Linked DNA regions of Caenorhabditis elegans. The protein of the gene in region 3 purifies or fractionates together with the protein of the main gene of each other region. This does not show direct contact. Each region holds a gene or a part of one and is shown on either strand. Other genes may lie near its edges. The genes, in order: gtap-1, parp-2, arrd-14 and twk-36.

Region 1 (6,660 bases), 7.9 Mb from region 3:
TTTCATTTTCATCGTTTTTACTTTCATCCCTTATAGATTTGATAATGTCTTTGAAGTACTGTCGCTCGCCTTTCACATTTTTATGGGTTTTTTTCGCCTTCTCGTATAACTCCTCCAATGCTTTTTCCTGCAAAATTATTATTAATATAATTTGTTTAAATATCTGCAACGTACATTCGGAACCTCGTCTGAACCATCTTTCAGGTCATTATGCAACGCTTCAAAAATGTGTTGCATTTGAGCACCTTCAGTCTCCAATTCCATCAACTTCATTGCATCTTTCATCAATGTTTCTTTGAATTCTTCAGAATCTACTTCATTTGAAATAGCATTTTTTGAATTGATATGAAGAACATCCTCAGCAGCCTTTCTCAGACTTTTTCGAATAATTTCCATACTAGTGGCGAGCTGGGTAGACATCTGGAAGGGATTTCACAACTTATTGAACTTCTAAATAACAAAAAAAGATAATTCAAAAATCGTTATATACGAATAACATTAGCCTACAAATGAACATTTAAAATTTAAAATTTTTTATTGAATTAACCCATATTTTCAGAAAGTGATTATGCATGAAAATTTTGAACATAAGGCGATAAAAACCAGGCAGTGAATAAGAAGTGATTAGGTACCCATATTCAATTTTCCTATTCGGACAGAAAGATGGAAAAATATGGAATCTTTGTCGTTTCCCCAAGCTTCGTGTAGAGAAAGCAGCTTTTGTAAAGTAATTCGAACACTTGTTTCACATCGATCCAAATAGTCAAGATCCAACGTGTTGGAGACTGATCTGAAAATAGTAATTTTTCATTTTAAAAAGCTCAATCAAAAAAGCTGCAGTCATGGCTGTAAATGTTTTTTTTTTTGGAAAAAAATACGAAAAATTATGCTTCACAAAACAATTTTGAGTAGAAAAAAATTAAAGTCGAAATTTTAAAAGAAAGTACAATTTTGGTCAACTTGTTTTAGATTTTCAAAATGAAGTTTCAAACTTAATAATTCTTAGTTTTGGTTTTTTGTTGCTTTTTTTGTGTTTTCGGTGGAAAAACTTTTTGATCTGATCTGAAAGTTGAAATTTAAATCCAATGGCATTGAAAGTGCCAAAATATTAATTTAAATGTTTGCATTTAATAATTGTATAACTTACCGTAACCGTATCTCATCTGTCATAGTCATAAACATATCCATATTTTCATGAACCAATCGTCTGATTCCAATGCGTACAACAAGATCTGAGAGCTTCTTGTGACCATCTGTAATCGCATTTTCCACCTGCTTCAAGCTTGTTGCATTCACAATTTGATCACGTGCCGTTCGAAATACATAGCGAACCTGGAAAAGGATATTTGAAAATTATAAAAAAGATATTTAAGAAAACCTTATCAGAGAACAACTCTCTGAAATGTGACACAACTTGTTCGAGTGTGAATACAAAGAAACGAAGTTTTGTTCTAAGTGCTCGATTCATTTTCTCGATTGCATTCGTTTTGTGATGAGCGAGAGAAACATCGATTGTGGATTGTGGACATTTCATTCGAGATAGTAGTTCTTCTGAAACAAAAAATGTAAAATTACATCCTTGACCGGTTGAAAAGCTCACTGTCATTAGCCATCGTAACTAGCAATTCTCTGGTTCGATATGCGCTGTGTGCAAACTTCATACACTGATTCATGACGTCAATAACTTCGGGACGAATGAATGAAGCCAGCATATGCTCGAGCTGAAAAACATTTAATTTTCAAAATTTTATTCCAATGCTAATACCTTGCATGTGAATTCAGATTTTGTTGAAATCCATGAGAATATATTCATATTTTCCTTACTCATCCGACCTCTCGATGCCAACCAAAATGCATCAGCAAAGTTGGTAACATTGGAATCTGATCGGAAGACTGTTGTTGCATATTGCTGTGAAATCGAACCAATGACAACATTCTGAAAGAAAAAGTTTTTGTCAGACACCCATCAATTCTCCGAACTGATAATATTTTTTTTTATCAGTAAATTTAAATCACATGCCTCTAAGTCGACCCACAAGTTGACAAATCGGTTGTTTCTATGTAATTCATTGAGTAGCTCTTGTGCAAACTGATCCTGAAGTAGGAGACATGTATCAAAAAATAGAGATCGGAATTCATCAAATGGTAGAAGATCTTCAGTGAATTTAGCTGCGGCTCGTAATGAATCAAATGCATTCGTGAATGTTTTGACTGGAAATTCAATTAATCCAACACGGATCCGACATTTGACTGCTTCAAGAATGATTTCAATCAGTTCTTCATCCCAAAGTAACGATTGAACTTCTTTGATATCTCGACAAAGTAGAATTTGAGCATCCGGTTTGACGTCACTAAAAATAAAGTTTTAAATTAGTATTTACGGAGTTTTCGTTATAATTTTCAGATTATTTTGATTATTAGTAACATTTCAAACACCATCACTAATCACTTATTCTCCACACCCTGATATCAACCCGTTTATCTCATGGCCATTCTAGCGGAAATAAGTGAAATATGCAAATATCTCTCTAGATATCTCTTCCGAATATGCAATATTTCGCATGGAAATCAAATTAAAAAACGCTGGAGAAATTTGAGAATTGACATGATGGAATTTTTGGAGGAAATTCTGAAAACAGGTTGAATGATGAATGACCATAGCTAGAAAAAAGTATAAAAAGCAATGAGAGAAATCTGATAATTATGTCAAGTCTGAATATGACGTCGACAGCTACTGCATACGCGGCTATTACCGTCGGACTCGTTTCGATCGGATTCATTCTTTTTGCTGTTCAAGGTATCAGCTCCAACATCGAAGATATCCGAAATGAGATGAATATTGAGATGGATGCATGGAAGGTAAGTAAATATAAAGTCCGTTATATGTTATATAGTAATAAAAATGTGAAATTTTAGTTTGAAACTGACAGTCTCTATCGTGATATGCAAAAGTTCGGCCGTGTTAAACGTCAGTATGGAGGATATGGAGCTTCTGGAGCCAACCCAACACCTCACGGTGGATTCCCAGGAGGCGCATCCCCAATGAATCCAGGAAGCTTCCCAGGAGTTGTCGGAGTGCCACCACAATTCAACCCAACACAAGGAGGAGAACCAAATCCAGGAGGATCTTGCAACTGCCAGGCTGACAATTCGTGCCCAGCTGGACCAGCTGGACCAAAGGGAGCTCAAGGATCTGACGGAATCGACGGAATTCCAGGAGTGCCAGGAATCGATGGACAGGATGCTGACGATGCTCAAGCTCAAACTCAACAATATGCAGGATGCTTCACTTGCCCACAGGGACCACAAGGACCACAAGGACCACAAGGAAAGCCAGGAGTTCGTGGAATGCGTGGAGCTCGCGGACAAGGAGCCATGCCAGGACGTGACGGAACTCCAGGACAGCCAGGAAGCCTCGGACCAGTCGGACCAGTCGGACCACAAGGAGAACCAGGATCAGAAGGAGAACCAGGAGCTGATGTCGAACATCAAGTCGGACTTCCAGGACCAAAGGGAATTTCTGGACCAACTGGACAACCAGGAGATCAAGGACCACAAGGAGATACCGGAGCTCAAGGTATTCCAGGAGCACCAGGAGAGCGTGGACCACGTGGAGACAAGGGAGATAATGGAGAGAACGGTTCTGCTGGAGCACCAGGAGAGGAGGGAGAGCCAGGAACTGATGCCGAATATTGTCCATGTCCTCAAAGACAGGAAAGTGCACCAGTCAATGGAAACCAGGGATACAAGAACAGACGTCATTAGATGCGATTATTTATTTTTCTTCTCTTAAATATTTATATAAATTTTTCAAGCAAGAATCTTACGTTTTAAAACTTTAAAAATCATAAAATTGAAACTCACTTGTGCAAAACAAAATAGTCGATAGCTGCAGGAACTCTTCCAATTTCGAAAATATGATCCATAATTGACAACAAAGCGCGAATCCATTTATTTTGTAACAACTTGACAACATCCCTCTTCTTTGCGATGGCATCCATTTGTGTTAACAGGAATACACGATTCCAAGAGTTTTCAATATCTTCCCATAACCAAATATGTCTTCCAACATCATCGCCAATCACTGCTCTCACTATTTCCACCTCTTCCATATTTTTATTTAGTCGAGCCAATGTCTGTAAAGGATCTTCCAGTCGCTCAGCACGAAGTTCGTCGAGATGACAAGCGTGATCTCTAAGAAATTGTTTCACCCAATCACAGAGTACAGTAATCAGTGTCGGAAGCATCAGTTGACTGTGTTCTTCACATCTCTCCACAAATTCACATATTTCGTTAAGCTTCCGATGAGTTCGAGTGAGGTGGTCGGCCAGTGTTCGTAGCTAAAATAACTTAAATAATTGATAGAAGAAATATTAAAAATTTACATAAGATTTTTGAATATTCGCATACGGAGATTCCATTGGAAAATAATAATCCGAGTTCACTTCAAGACCACCAGACGTCAATCTGTATAGAGGCATCGACACACGATCAGTGCATATTCTTCGTTGAGTATTTTTCTGAATTATAACGTTTATTTTTGATAAAAATTATTTTAGTTTTTGAACTAACTTTAACAGGTAAATCAATAAAGTCGATGAGATGAACAGCGAGCCGTTGTTGAGTGAGCAAATAACTGTCTGTTCTCAAAATAAAATGATTAATATTCGTTTTTGAAAATCCGAATTTCTTACCCATTTCTTTGATGTTCCATACTCTTTCTGTACTCTTGACATCGTTTTACATTGCTATCATGAAACTTTTTTATTTGATGATTCTTACGAGATGAGTTGAACTTCTAAAAAAAAACAGTTTATAAAAAGTTTTCGTTCATCTTCAATTACCTGTAGAACAGCTGGAAACGGATCTCTAGGTGTCGTGAGACATACTGCAGAATCAGCACGTGAGATGTCTCCGCTTCCTCCTTCGTCACGATCTTCTAGACAAGAATTGTAGAACATTGTCTGAAATTTGTTCTAACTATTTCTATATTTGGTTCCCTACAGTACCTCCTGCGTGCATTGATCGAATTCCACAGAAATTCCAACATCGTCGTCTTCATTCATACCTGAATTATATTTTCCTATTTTCAAATACCACAACACATAAATAGAAATTCTGATGAATATAAATACAGATAATTGAATATCTTCTCAAAAATCAAACGACAAAAATTTATTCGAATTATTATTCGTCTCATAGAAGTATCATAATCAAAACACTAAAACTACTGAAATTGTCTAGAAATAACGAGAAAACAGCTCATCAAAATATCTACATTGAACCGATTACCAATCGTTCGAATTAAAAGCTATAGGACTGAGTGAATAAGGGGAAAAGCACCAAAATTAGTTAAATTCAGACTAGTCATTTTCATGGCGTTGGCGGAGAGTCCGATCGGAGATAAGAAGATGCAAATTGTTCGAGATTTCGGAGAAGAAACACTGCTTTTCCTCTGAAAATTAATTTTATTAATTCTTGACACAGATCTAAGAGGACATACTTGATTGTTCCCAATGTTCGAATTGTTGAATCAACTGCATCAATTTGTGTCTTCTGTACATCCAAATCGTTTTTCATTTCTCTATGGACTCCACCAACAGTTGCTTTCAATCCGTCAAAGACTTGGTCCATTTCTCTGAAAACAACAAATTGAATTGAAAACTATACGGTTTAAAAAATACCTGATAGCTTGTGTTTCACAGTGATGAGTATGAGCTGTTGAAACTTGTTGCATTCGAGCAGCTAAATGTGATCTGAACTGTTCTTTCAAATGTTGTTCCTTGGCTCCCGAATTCCAGCGCATTCGTTCCCATGCATATAGTCCAGCGTAGGCCGCTCCTCCGACAGCAATTACTCTCCAACCAACAGCCTTATACACAATACCACCAACAACTAGCACTCCAAGACTTCCGTTTGCTAAAAATGCGGCTGATGTCAAAACCATTTGAGTCATCATTGCCTGTTCTTCGGAAGCTGCAGAAGCTTCTGCATCTCTCACTGAATTCTTTTCGGATTGTTGTTTTAGTGATAATGGAGTAAGCAAATTGGTGTTGATTGCAGTGACAGGTTGGCCGCTTCGATACGCAATGATGCGACGAATTATTGCGTGTAGACCAAATGTGAATCGGAACTCGAGGTCTTCATGGAAATCACTGAAAAATGTAAGAATGAAACACAAAAAATCCATCGAAACTCACTTGACAAGAGCAGGGACATCGACACAAATGCTAAATTTGAAAGGAGCACGATATCGCCACACTTCTTCAAGCTTATTCTGATAAGGTTCGGCGAGGATTTTTGTCACATATTCTGGAAAAAAAATTTTTTATAACACATCAGTTCCCAGATAAACACTTACGGAACATATCATTCTCCAAATTCCAAATTCTTGACATTAGGCCACCGGTACATCTAGCTTCCAAATCACTGCTCAAACATTTGTCCACAAAGATTGCCAAATCCTCTTTATACTTTGTCATTCCGGAAGAGCTTCCATCGAAAGGTTGTTCAAATCGATCAATTATTGCATCAAGTCGTGCTATTTCTTCAAAGAAATCAGCAGAAACTTTCAGATGAACTTCGGCTCGCAGTTGCTCTGTCTGCTCACGGTAAGCTTTTTCAAATTGAGTGAAGTTTACACGGCATTCATTGAAAGTC
Region 2 (4,379 bases), 4.2 Mb from region 3:
CTCTGAGCCGACTCGAGCAGAGTTCAGTGTCACCGCCTGGAAATACAGATATCGTGTATTTAAACGTATCACCTAATTTTGCAAACCTTTCTGTTCATAAATCTTTTGAACAGCAGCGTTCAAGACATAGTCAATCGCCGCCGCTCTGGAGCATCCAGACGGTGCACCAAACTCGGTAAAATATTTTTCAAGCTCCACAGTCCATTTAGCTACATCCTGCTCGTCAAGCATCTGAGCAGACCAATTTTGATCACGACACTTCAGATGGGCTTCTTCGACAGTGACGATTAGACGGCGAATCTCATTATCGTCTGGAATTTGGTTAATTATTGTAGAACAATTTCTGAAATACTACCATCGAAATTAATATAGTCACGATCGTATTCCACTGCTCTCAATTTTCTTCTGGACATTTTCTGAAAATCGTTTTGATTAAGCTTGTGAAAATCAGCTTCAAAAAATATAAAAAGGATTAGCAACACCTTCAGAATTTTAGAGAAAAATTTAAATTGCTTCAAAAATACATTTGTTTTTTGATATGAGCAGAAAATGAATGAAGTGAAACCGAAAAAGATGAGATTTTGAGCAAAAACAAATTCCAGGAATGTGATTTTAAAAAAATGAGGAGTATCATTGGATTAACAGGTTTAAAAAAAGTTACAAAAGCTTGACAAATTCAGATCAGAAAATTAAATGGAGAGGTAGAAACAGATAAAATGTGAGAGATTACATGAGAAATTAGCATTTAAGCCATCATTTCCTTAGCGGTAAGACGATCCACTTTCACTTCGACAACATATTTTATTTTGAAGTGTTCCTTGTTGAACATCACATATTCATCGTAGAGAAGACGAGTTTCTTCTTCGATTGTCTCAAGATTTGACTTGAATGCCGGGATTCCATTGCTGAAAATTTCATGGATAAGAATTTTTTGAAAAAAATCAGAATTTACATTTCAACAGTGTCTCTTGGAGTGTGCTTTCCAGCTGCATAAACCGACGTCTTTTTCGCTTTTTCCATTTTCTCATCCGCGTCAATTTCTGACTCGTAGAGAACTAATGGGTTCGCAGTTTCAACCTGAAATAGAAAAAATTGAAAATTGTGAAATTTTCAGTGGATTTCTCACCTCGCAAAGAAGCATGAAAACTCTCTTTGAAGCCTCTGGGCAACAGTAATTCGCGGATTTAGTTGGAACATTTGCGAAATAAACTCCATTTCCGAACATCAGACCACAGCGATCTCCAACTGGGAACTGAAGTCCATTCATGAGGATTGAGAAGACATTTGTCACACGAGTACCGTGCCAAAGAAGGCGTTTTGTAGTTGGTGGTGGAACAGTTGGAGCAGCGGTCTTTGTGCTCTTTCGTCCTCTCTTCTTCGGAACTTCCTGAACTTCAACTGGAGCTTCAGTTGGAATTTCATTTGGATCCTTTAACTCGAATGCATCAATGAGTGAAAGCTTGTAACAATGAGTGGGTCCACGCATAGCCAAGCAGTCTCCAATTTTTCCTGCAATTTCTTCCGAAACTGGCTCCAAATGGCACGGGAGGCGCTCATAAAGTCTTTGATAAATATCCTTCGACGATGCTGTCTTTTTCAAATCCTTCAGTTCCAGTGATGCTTCAATTGATCCTTTCAGTGCATCCAGAAGCTCTCGTTCAGCTTGAATTTTAGCATGAGAATCAATTTTTGGAGGAACACAGAAACCAAATGAATGAGGGATGAGAGAATAATATTTGTTGATGTCGTGAAGAGATGGACCATCGGATTTAACAGCAAGAACACGGTCAGCTACTCGTGGCCGGCCACGAGTAGATCTTCGAGCTAAAAGAATTTCCATTTTTCAGGGAAGATAATGGCCTAAATTTAGATTTTTCAACTTAAAACTTCAAATTTACAAAATTTCATAAAATACCTGATTTTCCTCCAATCGATTCCTCAATCTTACTCAAAATTTCATATCCAGTGGTGAGTTGGGCAAGTGAGAGGCAATCTGAATTTTTCTCTAATTTTTTAATACGATTTTTTAAAACTCACCAATTGGTCTTCCAAAAGCTTCGTTAAATTTCAGTTGTTTCAAGAGTCCCAGATGAACATCTTCGTCGCAGATGCATTTCATCAATTCCTTCAGCTTTTCATTAACTTCTTCAACTGGTTCCTCTTCTTTCTTGATTTCTTTCTTTTCTTTAACAATTCCTCTTTTCTTCCTTCCACGTGTATTTTTCTCATCAACTTTCGGCTCAGGTTCCGGTTCCTCCTTTTTAACTTCTTTTTCAGTCTGTCTTGCGTTAGTAGCCAACTCAACGACTGCATATTTATTGGGAACCGGTTCATCGTCTCTTTCTTCCCAATGAAGATGAGTTTTCTCGTAGAATTTGCTTTCGAAGAACTTCTTGGCTCTGTCGAGGTCATCGAAATCTTTTAATTGTGTGACACCACGATATCCAATACGTCCATTGATAAGCTTCACAATGAAATCACCTCCCTCATCCAACAATTCCATATCGTAAAATTTATTGTTGTTCTGTGCAATATTCGTCTTGCAAAGATGTACTTTATAGCCTCTTCCATTTTCGTCGTTGATTATAGACATTTCTGTCTAGCTGGAAATGGAAATTCGATTATAAAGACAACTTCTTACAATTTTCAGAAATAAATTTGGATTTCAGAAACCAATAAATCAAACAAAAAGGAAAAAATTGATCAAAAAACAGAAACATATATTTTTAAAAACAAAAAAATCAACAACAAAACCGTATTAATAACTTAAAAAACAATTAAACTCTCATAGTTTATCCGAAGATTCTTCTCCATTTTTCTTCTTTTCTGCCATTTTCTCTTTCTTGCTCTCCAGGCTTTCACACATTTTCCTATTCTCAAACCTTATGTAATTTGAAGGTATCGGACGATCTTGTACAAATTCGTGAAGTCCTTTATTGGCATCTCCTGAACTGAATTCAGCCATTCCAGTCAGTTCTCCGAGCATATTTTCCATCATTCGACTTCTCGCCTGATACGTCGCCCAGGTTTTTTGTAGTCCGGTCACTGTACTTTTCAGTGTATAGTCATGAACTTTCCATTCAACATCTTCAGATTTATATCCACAATCGAATAAGCATAGAGGAGTGTCCGAGGCTAAGGTGTACTGCGGCCGGCTCGGATATTTTTTCAGGTCAAGAAGCTGTGAGATTAATGATGGTTGTTCATTTTCTCTTCCAATTTCTTGAAGGATCGTGACTATGTATCGAATCATATGCCAAAGGAAACCACTTCCAGATACAGTGAGCTCCACCATTGAATACATATCTAAAGTTTTACTTGTCAAAACTAAACTCTCTGAATAAATAAACAATACCATTTTCTGGATGAGTCGATACTTGTTCTACCTTGACTTCATAGACTTTTCTAACATAAGACTGCAGCAGTCTTTTCTCGTTCATATCGATTTGGCAGAAATTCGAAAAATCGTGCTCACCGACCAATAGCTCCGCGCCCTGACGCATTTTCTAAATAAATAATAATTTGAAGATAAAAATATAATGAAAATACACCAACCTCTAAGTTAAGGTCAGCTTTAGCAAAAGAATATTTATATGTTCTTCTATTACAATCGAATCTGGCATTGAACGTTTGCGCGACAGGAGCCCAGGCGAAGACTCTGATGGTTTTCGGAAGAACTCCATTGAGCATTTTTACATAGGGAAGCTCTTCTCCACTAGCTTTATAGTCCACTTTTTGATGCTCTTGCGTAGAATCTGACCAAAACACTCCTGAGTCACCGGGACACAGAGATCTGAAAATTGAAATGAGAACGAGTTCAGTAAAAAAATTTTAAACCTAACAACCATTGCAGCAGTTTGTTTAAATGCGGAAACTCCTTTATCGGTCCGTCCACAACGCGAAAAATCACATTTCGTCCAGTCCTCAATTAAATGAGTTTTTATTAGTGCCTGCATGATATGCTGAAACATTTTTAATTTATTTAAATAAAGTATTTTAGAATTCTTACATTTTCCACCGTATTTTGTGTATGCGGTTGTTGAACAAGCCCATCATGCTCCCAGCCCAAATAGAAAAACTGAATTGCAATCTTCCGTCGAGGATGAGCGAGAAAATCCAGGGTTTTTGCTTTTTTTGCTGAAAAGTATTATTTTCAGATTTAATATTCAGCCCAGGCCTAAAACTTACACTTTACAGAATTATTTGCATCTGGGCATACTCTTTTTGACCCCATTGTGTAAATAAAATCAATAGAAAATAATTAAACGCTAGAAGAATAGGAAAAAGTGATTAAAAGGGATCGATTTCAAAAAATTGTGCAACTTCTGTTTGTCTGAGAGGAGTACACGACGCGCGGACTAGAATTGTTTTTTAGTCCC
Region 3 (5,994 bases):
AAAAAAATTCATTAATTTCATCGTCCGTTTTTATAGGACCAGTTTTTTTTTAAATAGAATTTCAAAACCCAGCCTATTATATATTTGTTAGGAATAAATGCAAAATCGGGGTGACTAACACACACTACTCAGAAAAATATTTCCTCAGACAAAACTGTTAAGTAAAAAAAAAACTAAAGAACTAAAAAAAAAAAAAAAAAAAACTAAACTCTAGCCTAAATCCCTGAAACCTCAATTCCTATTGTTAATTTCTTGTTAGTTACACTATTTTAGAAGGTATTGAACAAAAAATGTGTGTGTGTGTGTGTGTGTGTGGTTTGATGCCGGCAGAGGACGCACGAACCCTTGATAAATGGACGGAAAGAGTGCTGAGAAACAGAGAAAACGGAAAGAGACGTCGAAAAAAAGGGAAAAAAGAACGAAAATGAGAAACCCATTTTGTTGGAGGGTATTCTGAGAACAGCCTAGTGCAATTAAATTGCTAGAAGATACTTTTTTATAGATGTCAAACAAATGCTTTTATTAAAAATGAATTCCATCAAAAGAAACAAACGGAATAGCAGCATGTGATAACAATGGTATTTTATAAGCTCAGGGAAGACAGAAGACCTCAATGCCCATAATACGGCACTTGATAGGTGAACACCGGCTTCATATCGACCGTCCAGCTCTGCGCATCTTCTCCATCGACGAATTTGCGTGGGGGTACTGGAAAATAGAGTTTGTTTATATTTGAGTGCTCATGTTTCAGTGATTTTGACCGGAAAATTAGTTTATTTATTGCCAAAAATTGTCAGCAGAGGTGCATATAGGTTTTTTTCCGGAAAATTTCTGGCAATCGGAGAATCGGCAAATTGCCATAATTGAGATTTCCGGCAAATCAGCAAATTGCCGGAATTGAAAATTTCTGGCAATTGGCCGGAATTGAAAATTTCCGGCAAATTGTCGGAATTGAAAATTTCCGGAAAATCGGCAAGTTGCCGGAATTGAGCATTTTTGGCAAATTGGCAAACCGACAAATTGCAGGTGTTGAATATTTCTGGCAAATTGCCGGAATTGAAAATTTCCGTCAAACCGGCACATTGCCGGAATTGAAAATTTTTGGAAACCCGGCACTTTGCAGGAATTTAAATTTTCTGGCAAATCGGAAAAGCGCCACTTTGCAGGAATTTAAAATTTCTGGCAAATTACCGGAATTGAAAATTTCCGGCAAACCGGCAAATTGCCGGAATTGAAAATTTCTGGCAAATCGGCAAAGTGCCAGAATTAAAATTTCCGGTTAATAGGCAAATAGGTCAAATGCCGGAATTGAAAATTACCGGCAAACTGCCGGAAGTGAAAATTTTCGGCAAATCGACAAACCGGCAATTTGCCGAAAATAAAAATTTCCGGCAAACCGGCAAACTAGATGAAACCGCGGCGCGCCGTAATATGACAAGAATGCCCGGGACCTTCTATGATCTACCAAAAGAGGCAATATTTCTTGGAGCTCAAAAAGTGCAAAAATTAATGGGAAAACTGAGTTCACTAGTTTTCGTTCGATTCTATCAAAGCACGGATGTGCGGCAAATTTGCAGAATTTGCCGAGCTTGTCGTTTGCCAAGCTTTGCAAATTTCAAAAATGTGGACTTGCCGAGTTTGTCGAGTTCGGCAAATTTCAAATTTTGCCGCACACCCCTGTACCAGAGTGGCTTCTGAACTTCTCATCTTTTTCTCAACTTTTTCTTAATTCTGGCTAAAACTTACGTGAAGAGCTGCCTAAAAACAGCGGAACATTCCCAACGATAATATTCAATGCAGCTACTCCTCCCCGGTTACACGTTCCAGTATCTCCCCAGACTGTCACAAAGTACTCCACCGCTAGAAGCCTCGAGGAACGAATTGTGCTCACTACAGCCGGAATATCAAAGGAGAAGGCGAAATCCTTGCTGGATCTCGCCGGAACATTGCATCGTTCGATTTTCGTCTCAAGGATCTGCTCCTCGAGCTTCGACTTGAACCCGTCGGCTCCATCAGCCTTCTTCTTTGCGTTGGCTTTTGCCTTGAGCTCCTCGCGATATGTGATTCTTCTTGTTAGTTTCGCAGTGATGATTTTCATGGGTTTTGAGGTTCCGTTCTCGATTTGTCCTGACACAATTACATTCTCGCCTGCGACATAACCACATTTTGGAGATTGAAGCTGCAAAATCGATTATGCCGAATATGGTGCCAAAATGACCGAATATCCTAAAAAAAACTGTTCAAAAATTATTTTGAAGATTTTTATTTACTCTCAAAAAGTGGCAATTTCTCAGTTTTTGCCACTCATTTGGAAGTCTTTTTGGAAGTCGACCAAAAAAATTCTTTTTGATCTACAAAAAGTGCGGGAAACTTTTTCCCTTAAAAATTGTGACGTCAGCACGTTCTTAACCATGCGAAATCAGATCCCGCATTTTTTGTAGATCAACGTAGATCAAGCCGAAATGAGGCACTCTGACACCACGTGATTTTGGCAATGTGCCAAAACTTTGACCGGAAATTATGAAAAATCTAAATTTTTTCGGAGTGTTTTTTAATAACGCTGTAAAAAAATAACACAAACACGTGGTGTCAGAGTGTCTCATTTCGGCTTGATCTACGTTGATCTACAAAAAAAGCGGGAGAAAACACGCAGAGTTCTCAACTGATTTCGCATGGTTAAGAACGTGCTGACGTCACATTTTTTCGGGCAAAAAAATTGCAGCGTTTTTGTAGATCAAACCGTAATGGGACATTCTGATGACAGCACGTGCACAAACCGTATAAATGACATTTCCCCTCGTCGGCAGGCACGGCAGGCAGTGGCAGTACTCCGCAACATTGTCCACGTGGATCTTTGCCGGTTCATGTGCATTCACAGCATTCAGGTCGACCATCGATGACACTGTGACGGCTCGTTCCACGTTTATGGGTTTTCCATTTGGAACGGCAATGTGGAGCAAGACCGAGTACCTGATGAAGCCGTATTTTCCCTCGAAACTCGGTGGGCAGTCCTTGGGAAGTTCGAACGAGAAGTTCCACTCGTAGTCTCCGGATGGGAAGGTGTTCTGGAAGAATTGATAGGCAAATCGGCAAATCGGCAAATTGCCGAAATTGAAAATTTCCGGCAAATCGACAAACGGCCAAATTGCTGATTTGCCGAATTTGCCGGAAAAATGGCAATTGCCGAGTTTTCGGCAGACCGGCAATTTGGCAATTTGCCGAAAAGAAAATTTCCGGCAAATCGGAAAATTGGCAAATTGCCGAAAATGAGCATTTCCGGTAAACTGCAGGAATTTAAATTTCTGCCAAATCAGAAAATTGGCAATTTGCCGGAACTAAAAATTTCCGGCAAATCGGAAAATTGGCAAATTGCTCGAATTGAAATTTCCGGTAAATCGGCAAGTCTGCAAATTGCCGAAAAGAAAATTTCCGGCAAAACGGCAATTTGGCAATTTGCTCGAAAATAAAAATTACCGGCAAATCGGCAAATCTGCAAATTGCCGGAATTGAAAATTTCCGGTAAAACGACAAACGACAAATTGCTGATTTTCCGAAATTGCCGGAAAAATGGCAATTGTCGAAAGTTTTCGACAGACTGGCAATTTGGCAATTTGTCGAAAGTAAAAATTTCCGGCAAATCGGAAAATTGGCAAATTGCCGAAAATGAGCATTTCCGGCAAATTGAAGGAATATAAATTTCCGCCAAATCAGAAAATTGGCAATTTGCCGGAACTAAAAATTTCTGGCAAATTGCTCGAATTGAAATTTCCGGTAAATCGGCAAATCTGCAAATTGCCGAAAAGGAAATTTCCGGCAAATCGGAAAATTGGCAAATTGCCGGAATTGAAAATTCTGAAAATTGGCAACTTGCCGAAAATGAGCATTTCCGGCGAATCGGCAAAGCGGAAAAATGCCGGAATTGAAAATTTCCGGCAAATCGACAAACGGGCAAATTGCTGATTTGCCGAGGGAAAAATGGCAATTGCCAAAAGTTTTCGGCAAACCGGCATTTTGGCAATTTGCTCGAAAATAAAAATTACCTGCAAAACGGCAAATTTCCCAAATTGAAAACCCTCCGAGGACTATAGGCCTAAAAGCCAAGCCTAATTTTCCCAGTCCTGGTCAACTAGATTCCCCACTCACCTCAGTATCCTCCGGAGTCCAGACCTCGTGCTTCATCTCCACATAGGTCTCCTCTCCCTTCTTGCACTTCTTGTCCTTGATGATTTTTCTGGAAGACCAAGTTTTTTTTCGATACCCGGAATTTTTTTTGTCAAAAAAAACACGAACTTTCCATTATGAGCAGTGATAGTTTTTCCGGAAAACGTGATTTCCACACTTGTCGCCTTCAAGTTCTTCGTGGTAGACACCCACGCACGGCCTTTGACCTCATCGCCCGGGAAGTAAACCTCTTTCTCGAATGAAATTTGAGGATCACAGTCGGCTATGGTCATGGTTCTGGAAATTTACTCTTAAAAATGTGATTTTATATAGCTTACTGTGAGCTCATAGTAAGAAGAAAATTCGAGTTTCAGCGTGGCCGAGTTTTTCCAAAACTTCCTGAGATAGAATTATAACAGTTTGCCGTAAATGATATGCATTTAAAAAAATATAAAAATGAGAAAAATCGGTCACCAATTTTTTTTCTAGGCCACGGAAAGTACTCTGGCCACAGGTCTGTTATGTCATGTGGTAGTGGAAGAGAAAACTCGGCCACCAACACTTTTTTCTAGGCCACGGAGAGTATTCTGTGCACAGGTCTGCTACGCCATGTGGCCGTGGAAGAGAAAACTCGGCCACCAACACTTTTTTCCAGGCCACGGAGAGTTTTCTTTGTACAGGTAGGCTACGCCACGTGGCCGTGGAAGAGACAACTCGGCCACCAAAATTTTTTCTAGGCCATAGAGAGTACTCTGTGTACAGGTTTGCTACGTCATGTGGCCGTGGAAGAGACAACTCGGCCACCAACTTTTCTATGCCAAAGGGAAAACTCGGCCATCAATTTGTGTTGACCTTACAGAACTACTGTTGTAAGAGCAAATTTTGAACAGAAAAAAAAATATAGAGAAAACTCGGCCACCAACTTGTTTCTGTTCACCTAGAAAACTCCGCTTTTTACACAGGCCAGCACAAGGAGAAAGTTCGGCCATGTAGCTAAAGCGCACAATAACACGAGACCGAGAAAAATAAAAACTCGGCCACCTACTTTACAAAACCTGGAGAGGTGTTCAACACGGTAATATCGAAAACTTGTTGAGAAAATGCCAGAGAAAACCAAACAAAAAGCGCGCGCGCGGGGGCAAAAATGTAACTGTGTAGAGGGGACAGCAGGGGATGGCTGTTGACATGAAAAAAAGAGACATGAGATTGGAAACAGATTCCCCCCATTTATTGTTTGAGGTCATTTCCTTTCTTCATCTTCTTTTTTCAATTCTCATCTCTTTTGATCAAAAATTGCCGTTTTTGGGTTGGGCCCCCGCACCGGGGAAGCAAAAAAAGTAATTTTTAAAAAAACGCCTCGCTATTATCAAATTACGAGAAAAAAAAGGATTATTTGGAATTTCCCGCCGAAAGGAGATCATGTGATCCGTGATAAGAATAGATTATCGGTGACTAAGCGGTTGATTTTGTTTAAAAAATACGGAACGCGCCTTTAAATGGGCACTGTAGCTTTGGCGGGAACTACACAAAAATCACGTGGAAGAGTTTTTTGCGTTTTCTAGGCCATGCATGGCCTAGAAAAGGAAAAAACTCGGCCACCGTATTTTTTTTGTCAGCGACAAATCGTCGGGGAAGAGTTCCTGTAACGTGGCCGAGAAAAGAAACACAAAAATTCGGCCACCGATCATCTTCATGGAAGAGCTTCCGAGTTTTCTAGGCCACGCTGTGGAGGCCGGAGTAGGTCGACATTTGCAACATGGCCGAGAAGAAGTGAAATTCGGCCAGCGGCTTGAGTTTTTTTTAGAATTAGAAAAAAAATCAGTTTCATGGAAA
Region 4 (5,941 bases), on a different chromosome or scaffold from region 3:
AAGCCGAAAAGTTTCTGATAAGGAAATCCGCAAAAAAAGAAAAGATCAGAACAAATTCACATAATAAATAAAAAACCAGAATCAACGAACATCTGGAAAAGTGATACGGATGCCCATGACTGATGAATGATGATGAGGGGAAGGAGAAAATGATGTGAAACAAGGCAATGTAGAGAAGGCAATTAACACTAAGTTTCACTATAATTATGCTTCTCTTCTTCAGGCGCCGCCTTTTTGGTTTCCGCTACGGTTTCATCCCCCTATGCAATAATTTCACTTTTTTCGTCGGCTAAATTACGTGGCCGATGGTCTGTAATTGTCCAGAAATGCAACATATTTGTATATTTGTACTTGAGGACACTAAAGAGAAAGTTAATTTCCACAAGTGGACATATTATTTTTGTTCCCAGTTCGCTTTTTTCATTTCATTTTCATTTTTCCCTGGAATGACGCCAGAACAATCTTGGATCTTTGATGGTCGAAAAAGAAAAGGTTTGAAAAATTTATTATGGTAAGGGTCTGACCCAAGGTACAGTATGTAAAGCATTAGAGCTCATAAGGTCTCCTCTTCTTAGTTGAACTCTTCCGAATCCTCCACCATAGACGTCATGGTTGGAACGCATGAATGTGGCAATTGATCGGACGGTGAAGGTGTTCATCATCTCGTTTCGGCGGCGGTTGATTACCTGAAAGTATGAGGCTTAGGCATATGCTTAGGCTTAGGTTCAGGCTTAGGCTTAGTCTGAAGCTTAGGCTCATGCTCAGGCTTAGGCTTAGGCTCAGGCTTAGAACTAGGCTTTGGCTTTGGCTTTGGCTTAGGCTTAGGCTTCGGCTTAGGGTTAGGTCTAGGCTTAGGCTTTGGTTAATCTTAGGCTTAGGCTTAGGCTTAGGCTCAGGCTTAATCTTACTCTTAGGCTTAGGCTCAGGCTTGGCGTCAGTGGCGAGCGTTGGCTCGCTACTGACGCTATTTAGGCTTTGGATTTTCCGGTTTTTTTATTATTTTTGAGGGGGTTCCTGTTGGCCGATTATCCTTAGGTACTAGAAACTCGAGAAATTAAGCTTAGGCTCAGGCTTATGCTTAGGCTTTGGCTTAAGCTTAGGCTTAGACTCTGGCCTAAACTTAAGCTGAGGCTTATTCTCAAGCTCATGTTCAGACTTTAAATAACGCTTCCAACGTTATCAGTTTTACCCACTTTTTCTCACTTGATTCTTTTACTTTTCAGAGTGACTATAGTTCCAAATTATGCAATAATATGTTCTCTGATCTTCTGCTTGACTTACCCCATCATCCGATCCACTATCCGAGTCCCCATCAAATCCACGTGGCTCTTTTGAATCCACGGACTCTGCTGAAGACCCTGATGATGTTGATCTGACAGTTTTTACACCAGGTTTCCGTTCCGTCAAGAGCATGCTAATCTTGGTTTCCGCCAAGGTCATCAGGCCAAAAACCCCATTTTCCACTGCAATAAATGTTGCTCGATTCACAACTTTTGTGACTGCCATGCCGATGAAAAATATCATCGAGACCGGCGGGGCGTACTGAAATTTTGAAATTAAGCAACACAAAAGGTACAAAAAGCTTACCGGAACATTATTTGGCATCACATCGCCTAGACCAATAGTTGTGAGAGAGATGAAAGAGAAGTAGAATGCGGTGAAGTACGGTAGGCCGTCGTCCCATTCCGGGCCCATAACGGCGTCGTAGAGGTACACGAACGTGGTGCAGAGGAGGAGGTAGGCTGGAAAGTTGGAACCGAGGATGGGTAAGGTTGGAGACCGCGGGCTAAATGATGGCCTGAACCATGTAAGACTCGTCTTCAAGGACAGTTAGAGAGCCTAGGTAGCCTAGGCTTGCCTGGCTGACTCTAGGAAGTTTCGACGAGGTTAGAATGTCTAACAAACTATGGATAGCCTAGTCAAGCTCAGGTATCTTAAACAAAGTCGGGTACATGCTAGCTCTGAGCATTTTGACGCTACAGGAGCTACTTCTAAGATCTTCGAAGCTTCAGAGGTCTTTCCGCTAACCTATCAGAATAGTCATACAAAACTTGATGGGCAGCTGTATAATCTCATCCTCATCGACTTCTCGCTTTCCACGAATCCTCCTCACCGCTGTCAACCCGTGCGCGTACAATTTTGTGAAATTCACCAAGAACATCTGGCCTAGATCCCTTAAGATCACCAGTGTCACCGGTACAAAACAAAATGCGTAGATCATTGTGAAAAGCTGACCGCTGAAGGTTTGAGCTGAGATTGAACCTGGAACCTTGGAATTAATTGGGCTGAAGTTACAGAAAATTGGATCAGGTACCATAACCGGTAGTTGTGTAAACATTCATACTGAAGAAAAATGCGCTTGAAAATGTCCATTTGAGATTGTCAGGGTGCTCTAGACGATAGTATGTGCTCCATTTGTATTGCTCCTCGTGTTTTTGCAGGGAAATGTAGGATTCCTGAAATGACAATCCCGGCAAGCTTTCTCAAAACCACCATACTTTTATAAACTCCTTCATCCTCTGATGCTCAGAACTTTGCTCCGGGTCATTGACGGCTTCTGAGAGCACAGTTGCTAGCTCATCCAACAACTTATCTAGGTTTTGCTCCCGAACATGCAGTCTCGATTTCTCATTCGAACCCTCTATCAGATAAAACACCGTCGCCCCTAAAAGTGTGTAGATCAACGCCAAAACCAGCAAAGCTATGTAGCGGAGCCCGAACTTTTTTCGGTGCATTGCGAACCAGTAGAAGGATTTGTCGAATTCTGGAAAAAAATTTTAGTCGGTGAGGGCGAAATCTAGTTTTTAAAAAAATTGAAAATTCTTTAAATTTTTCTGGGAACATTTGAAATTCTCGTCAAAATTTTAAAGAAAATTTGAATTTCCCGCCAAAACTTTTCAGGAAAACTTGAAATTATTTTTTAAAAATTCTGAAAAGTCTTGCCGTTCCTGCTGAATTATTTGAGAAAATGTGAATGTAAAATACATTTTTTGAAAAAAAAAATCTCTGAGAAATTTTGAATTTCTCGCCGAAGTTTTCTTATTAAAAATTCGATGTTCCGCCAAATTTTTTCGAAAAAATGTGAATTTTCCGCCCAATCATCTAGTGAAGTTTAAAATTTAAAAGAATCATCTTTATAAAACTTGAACTTCTTGCTCAAAAATTTAAATTTTCCGCCAACATTTTCTGCTAAACTTTTAATTTGTCGTATAAACATCTTGATAGCTTTTAGGAAATTGTAGTTTTTTTTTGAAACTGACTTACGCCTTTCCTGAGGTAACATTGGCATTTCCATTGGCTCACTGGCTCGCGGAGCACTTTTCTGACTAATTGAAGCTTTATCCACTTGAAATCTGTTCGCCGAAATGTTCCTGGGAAGTTTTTGGTAAGTTTCCTGATTTCCTGTTACAGTATAATGATTTTTCTGATAATATTGAGAGATTGGATTCTGGTTTTCAGATTTTTCAGATTTTCCAGCATCCATCTCATAAGTGACCCGATGCCTAGCCACTTCATCCACGGAGGTGCTCCGTTGAGCCGGTAAGTGGTTGGAGCTGGTGTTTCGGGATCCTGGGAGGGTTAGGACACTGGCATTGCTTTGGTTGCGGCTGGAAATCGGAAATTAAACAATTTTGGAATTTTTCGAATTAAAAAAAAAAAATTTTTTGAAATTTTTTTTTTTTGGAATTTTTTTTTGAAAATATTTTTGAAATTATTCAAGTTTTTGAAAATTTATACACTTTTCCCTGGTTTTTCTTATTTTCCCAAAAATTAATTAAATGTTTTCATTAAAACCAACAAACCTCAAACCGGGCCCTTCGAGCACATGCTGCACGGTATCTTTCCGCTCCACCGTATACTTCTGACTCAAAATACTCTTTAACCCGTCTTTTTCAGAAGTTACGGTCATTTTTTACATGGAATTGACAAAAAAGTATGAAATGAACACATAGAACAGACGTCAACGGACGACGATTTAAAATGCAAATTTGGTGGGGGTTTTCAGACTAAAACTACACTGAAAACGAATATTTTAACTTTTATATGGTATGTATGACATAATTGAGTGTGAAAAGTTTATTTTTACACTGAAAAAACTTTAAAATAACGAAAGAAAACGTTTTAATCGAATTTTCGAGAAAATTTCCGAATGGAGCAGTGGGATTCTGAATTTATTCCAATCAAACGTCCGGGGTTCGAGTCCGCACAGGGGTATTTATTTTTTGCAAGCTGTGATTTACAAGTTTATAGCTGCAAAAGTGATTTTTATCGAATTTTTAGGAAAATGTCCGAATGGCACAGTGGGATTTTCCATGTCTATCAATCAGAGGTCCGGGGTTCGAGTCCACACAGGGGTATTTATTTTTTGCAAGCTTTAGAAATTGAGGTTCGAGTTGGGAAATTCATTTTTAGCGAATTTTCAGGAAAATGTCCTAATGACGCAGTGGGATTTTTAGTGTCTTTCAATCAGATGTCAGTGGTTCGAGTCCGCACAGGGGTATTTATTTTTTGCAAGCTGTGATTAACAAGTTTATAGCTGCAAAAGTCATTTTAATCGAACTTTCGGGAAAGTGTCCGATTGGCGCAGTGGGATTTTCAACGTCTTCCAATCAAACGGCTGGGGTTCGAGTCCGCACAAGGGTATTTATTTTTTGCAAGCTGTGATTAACAAATTTCAAGCTGCAAAAGTCATTTTAATCGAACTTTCGGGAAAGTGTCCGATTGGCGCAGTGGGATTTTTAATGTCTTCCAATCAGAGGTCCGTGGTTCAAACCCGCACAGTGACAAATATTTTTGTTATGATGTTTATGAGCCTCAATTGTAACTATAATAACTTTATTCCGGAAAACAATATGAGTTTATGACTGATTATCAAATTTAACTTTCTCCAATTTTCTTCATTTTTCTTTATTTTTTTTCTCAATTTTTTCAATATTTATTGACACTGAATTCCACAATTCCTCAAAACCTTTTCCTGGCATCGAAAATGAACATTTGCATGACAATCCGTGCACTGAACGCCTTGCTTCGTGAGCCCATAGAGCATACTTCCACAGTGATCACAAAATGTCGGGCGAGTGAAGAAATGCTTGTTAAAGTGATGAGTATTTGATGGAGGTTCTTCCGAAGCAGATCGGCTACGACGAGTTTTCAGATTTGTAGTTTCAGCAGGAACCGGAGCTCGGGAAGATGGTCCGAAGGTGCAGCGGGCGGTGATGAGGGCATGGCACCGCTTATGAACGACTGTCTCACAGCCTGGAAAATGAAATATGAACTAATATTCACTAGAAATCAGGTTCCGTGCTTAAAATCTAGCTTTTGCCTAATTTTTGAGAAAATGCACCAATGGCTCAGTGGGATTTTCCAGAACTATCGCGCACAAGTCCGGGGTTCAAGCCCGCCATGTGGTCAAATATTTTTGTACGCAGTGTTTAGACATATAAAGACCAGCTTGTAAATGAACAAACGATTTTACAGGTTTTAAGGAAAAAGTGCCCGAATGGCGCAGTGGGATTTTCGAGAACAACAAATCTTACGACCAGGGTTCGAGTCCGACCTGTGGTCAAATATTTTTTTTTTCGAATTTCTAAAATATTTTTGGGTATTTCAGACACGTGGAATTCAAATTTCTATATGTCCGAGCGTAAAAGTTTTAAGAAATCGTTGAAAATAGACTTTCAAAACTCGTGAAAGTTGTAAAATTGTTTAAAATCCAAAACTGTTACATCGAAATTAGAAATTATATATTGAAATTAGTGTTTCTCTTATTATGATCATTTTTACAAGTTTTCAAAAAAAATGCCCGAATGGCGCAGTGGGTTTTTCCAAAAACTACCAAGCACACCACCGGGGTTCGAGCCCATGAGGTGGCAAAATTTTTTTTGTACCCTTCAACTAACTCACCTAGACACTTGTAACCCTGTTTTCCAACACCATATAT

What was found.
Region 1: the proteins of arrd-14 (region 3) and gtap-1 fractionate together in Caenorhabditis elegans (co-fractionation; one large-scale study listed by BioGRID). This does not show direct contact.
Region 2: the proteins of arrd-14 (region 3) and parp-2 fractionate together in Caenorhabditis elegans (co-fractionation; one large-scale study listed by BioGRID). This does not show direct contact.
Region 4: the proteins of arrd-14 (region 3) and twk-36 fractionate together in Caenorhabditis elegans (co-fractionation; one large-scale study listed by BioGRID). This does not show direct contact.

What each region holds. Positions count from the first base shown.
Region 1 is NC_003280.10:5,828,167-5,834,826, forward strand, and holds gtap-1 (Dynein heavy chain 7, axonemal), read right to left. Parts: upstream 5,071-6,660; 5' UTR 5,067-5,070; coding exon 5,010-5,066; intron 4,965-5,009; coding exon 4,845-4,964; intron 4,799-4,844; coding exon 4,695-4,798; intron 4,646-4,694; coding exon 4,573-4,645; intron 4,521-4,572; coding exon 4,386-4,520; intron 4,341-4,385; coding exon 3,865-4,340; intron 3,857-3,864; exon of another isoform or gene 3,766-3,856; coding exon of another isoform or gene 2,917-3,765; intron 2,860-2,916; coding exon of another isoform or gene 2,719-2,859; exon of another isoform or gene 2,352-2,718; coding exon 2,021-2,351; intron 1,937-2,020; coding exon 1,766-1,936; intron 1,722-1,765; coding exon 1,601-1,721; intron 1,552-1,600; coding exon 1,379-1,551; intron 1,333-1,378; coding exon 1,148-1,332; intron 791-1,147; coding exon 625-790; 3' UTR 516-624; downstream 1-515. Other genes in the region: ZK1248.11 (E3 SUMO-protein ligase NSE2), read right to left, coding at 1-127, 175-420; col-74 (Nematode cuticle collagen N-terminal domain-containing protein), read left to right, coding at 2,719-2,859, 2,917-3,765; Transmembrane GTPase fzo-1, read right to left, coding at 5,374-5,455, 5,504-5,638, 5,685-6,155, 6,201-6,312, 6,362-6,660.
Region 2 is NC_003280.10:9,591,261-9,595,639, reverse strand, and holds parp-2 (Poly [ADP-ribose] polymerase 2), read right to left. Parts: upstream 2,604-4,379; 5' UTR 2,594-2,603; coding exon 2,038-2,593; intron 1,994-2,037; coding exon 1,916-1,993; intron 1,825-1,915; coding exon 1,127-1,824; intron 1,078-1,126; coding exon 953-1,077; intron 906-952; coding exon 746-905; 3' UTR 512-745; downstream 1-511. Other genes in the region: E02H1.5 (uncharacterized protein), read right to left, coding at 1-36, 87-311, 356-413; putative tRNA pseudouridine synthase tag-124, read right to left, coding at 2,786-3,306, 3,356-3,506, 3,556-3,793, 3,838-3,962, 4,010-4,137, 4,189-4,234. UniProt on the Caenorhabditis elegans protein: Poly[ADP-ribose] polymerase modifies various nuclear proteins by poly(ADP-ribosyl)ation, a post-translational modification synthesized after DNA damage that appears as an obligatory step in a detection/signaling pathway leading to the reparation of DNA strand breaks and programmed cell death.
Region 3 is NC_003280.10:13,750,780-13,756,773, reverse strand, and holds arrd-14 (Arrestin C-terminal-like domain-containing protein), read right to left. Parts: upstream 4,459-5,994; 5' UTR 4,455-4,458; coding exon 4,291-4,454; intron 4,232-4,290; coding exon 4,144-4,231; intron 3,066-4,143; coding exon 2,778-3,065; intron 2,180-2,777; coding exon 1,747-2,179; intron 709-1,746; coding exon 611-708; 3' UTR 507-610; downstream 1-506.
Region 4 is NC_003283.11:17,743,145-17,749,085, forward strand, and holds twk-36 (Potassium channel domain-containing protein), read right to left. Parts: upstream 3,916-5,941; 5' UTR 3,911-3,915; coding exon 3,804-3,910; intron 3,609-3,803; coding exon 3,265-3,608; intron 2,765-3,264; coding exon 2,499-2,764; intron 2,457-2,498; coding exon 2,315-2,456; intron 2,263-2,314; coding exon 2,029-2,262; intron 1,743-2,028; coding exon 1,588-1,742; intron 1,543-1,587; coding exon 1,282-1,542; intron 687-1,281; coding exon 507-686; downstream 1-506. Other genes in the region: R12G8.1 (Phorbol-ester/DAG-type domain-containing protein), read right to left, coding at 4,937-5,256, 5,905-5,941.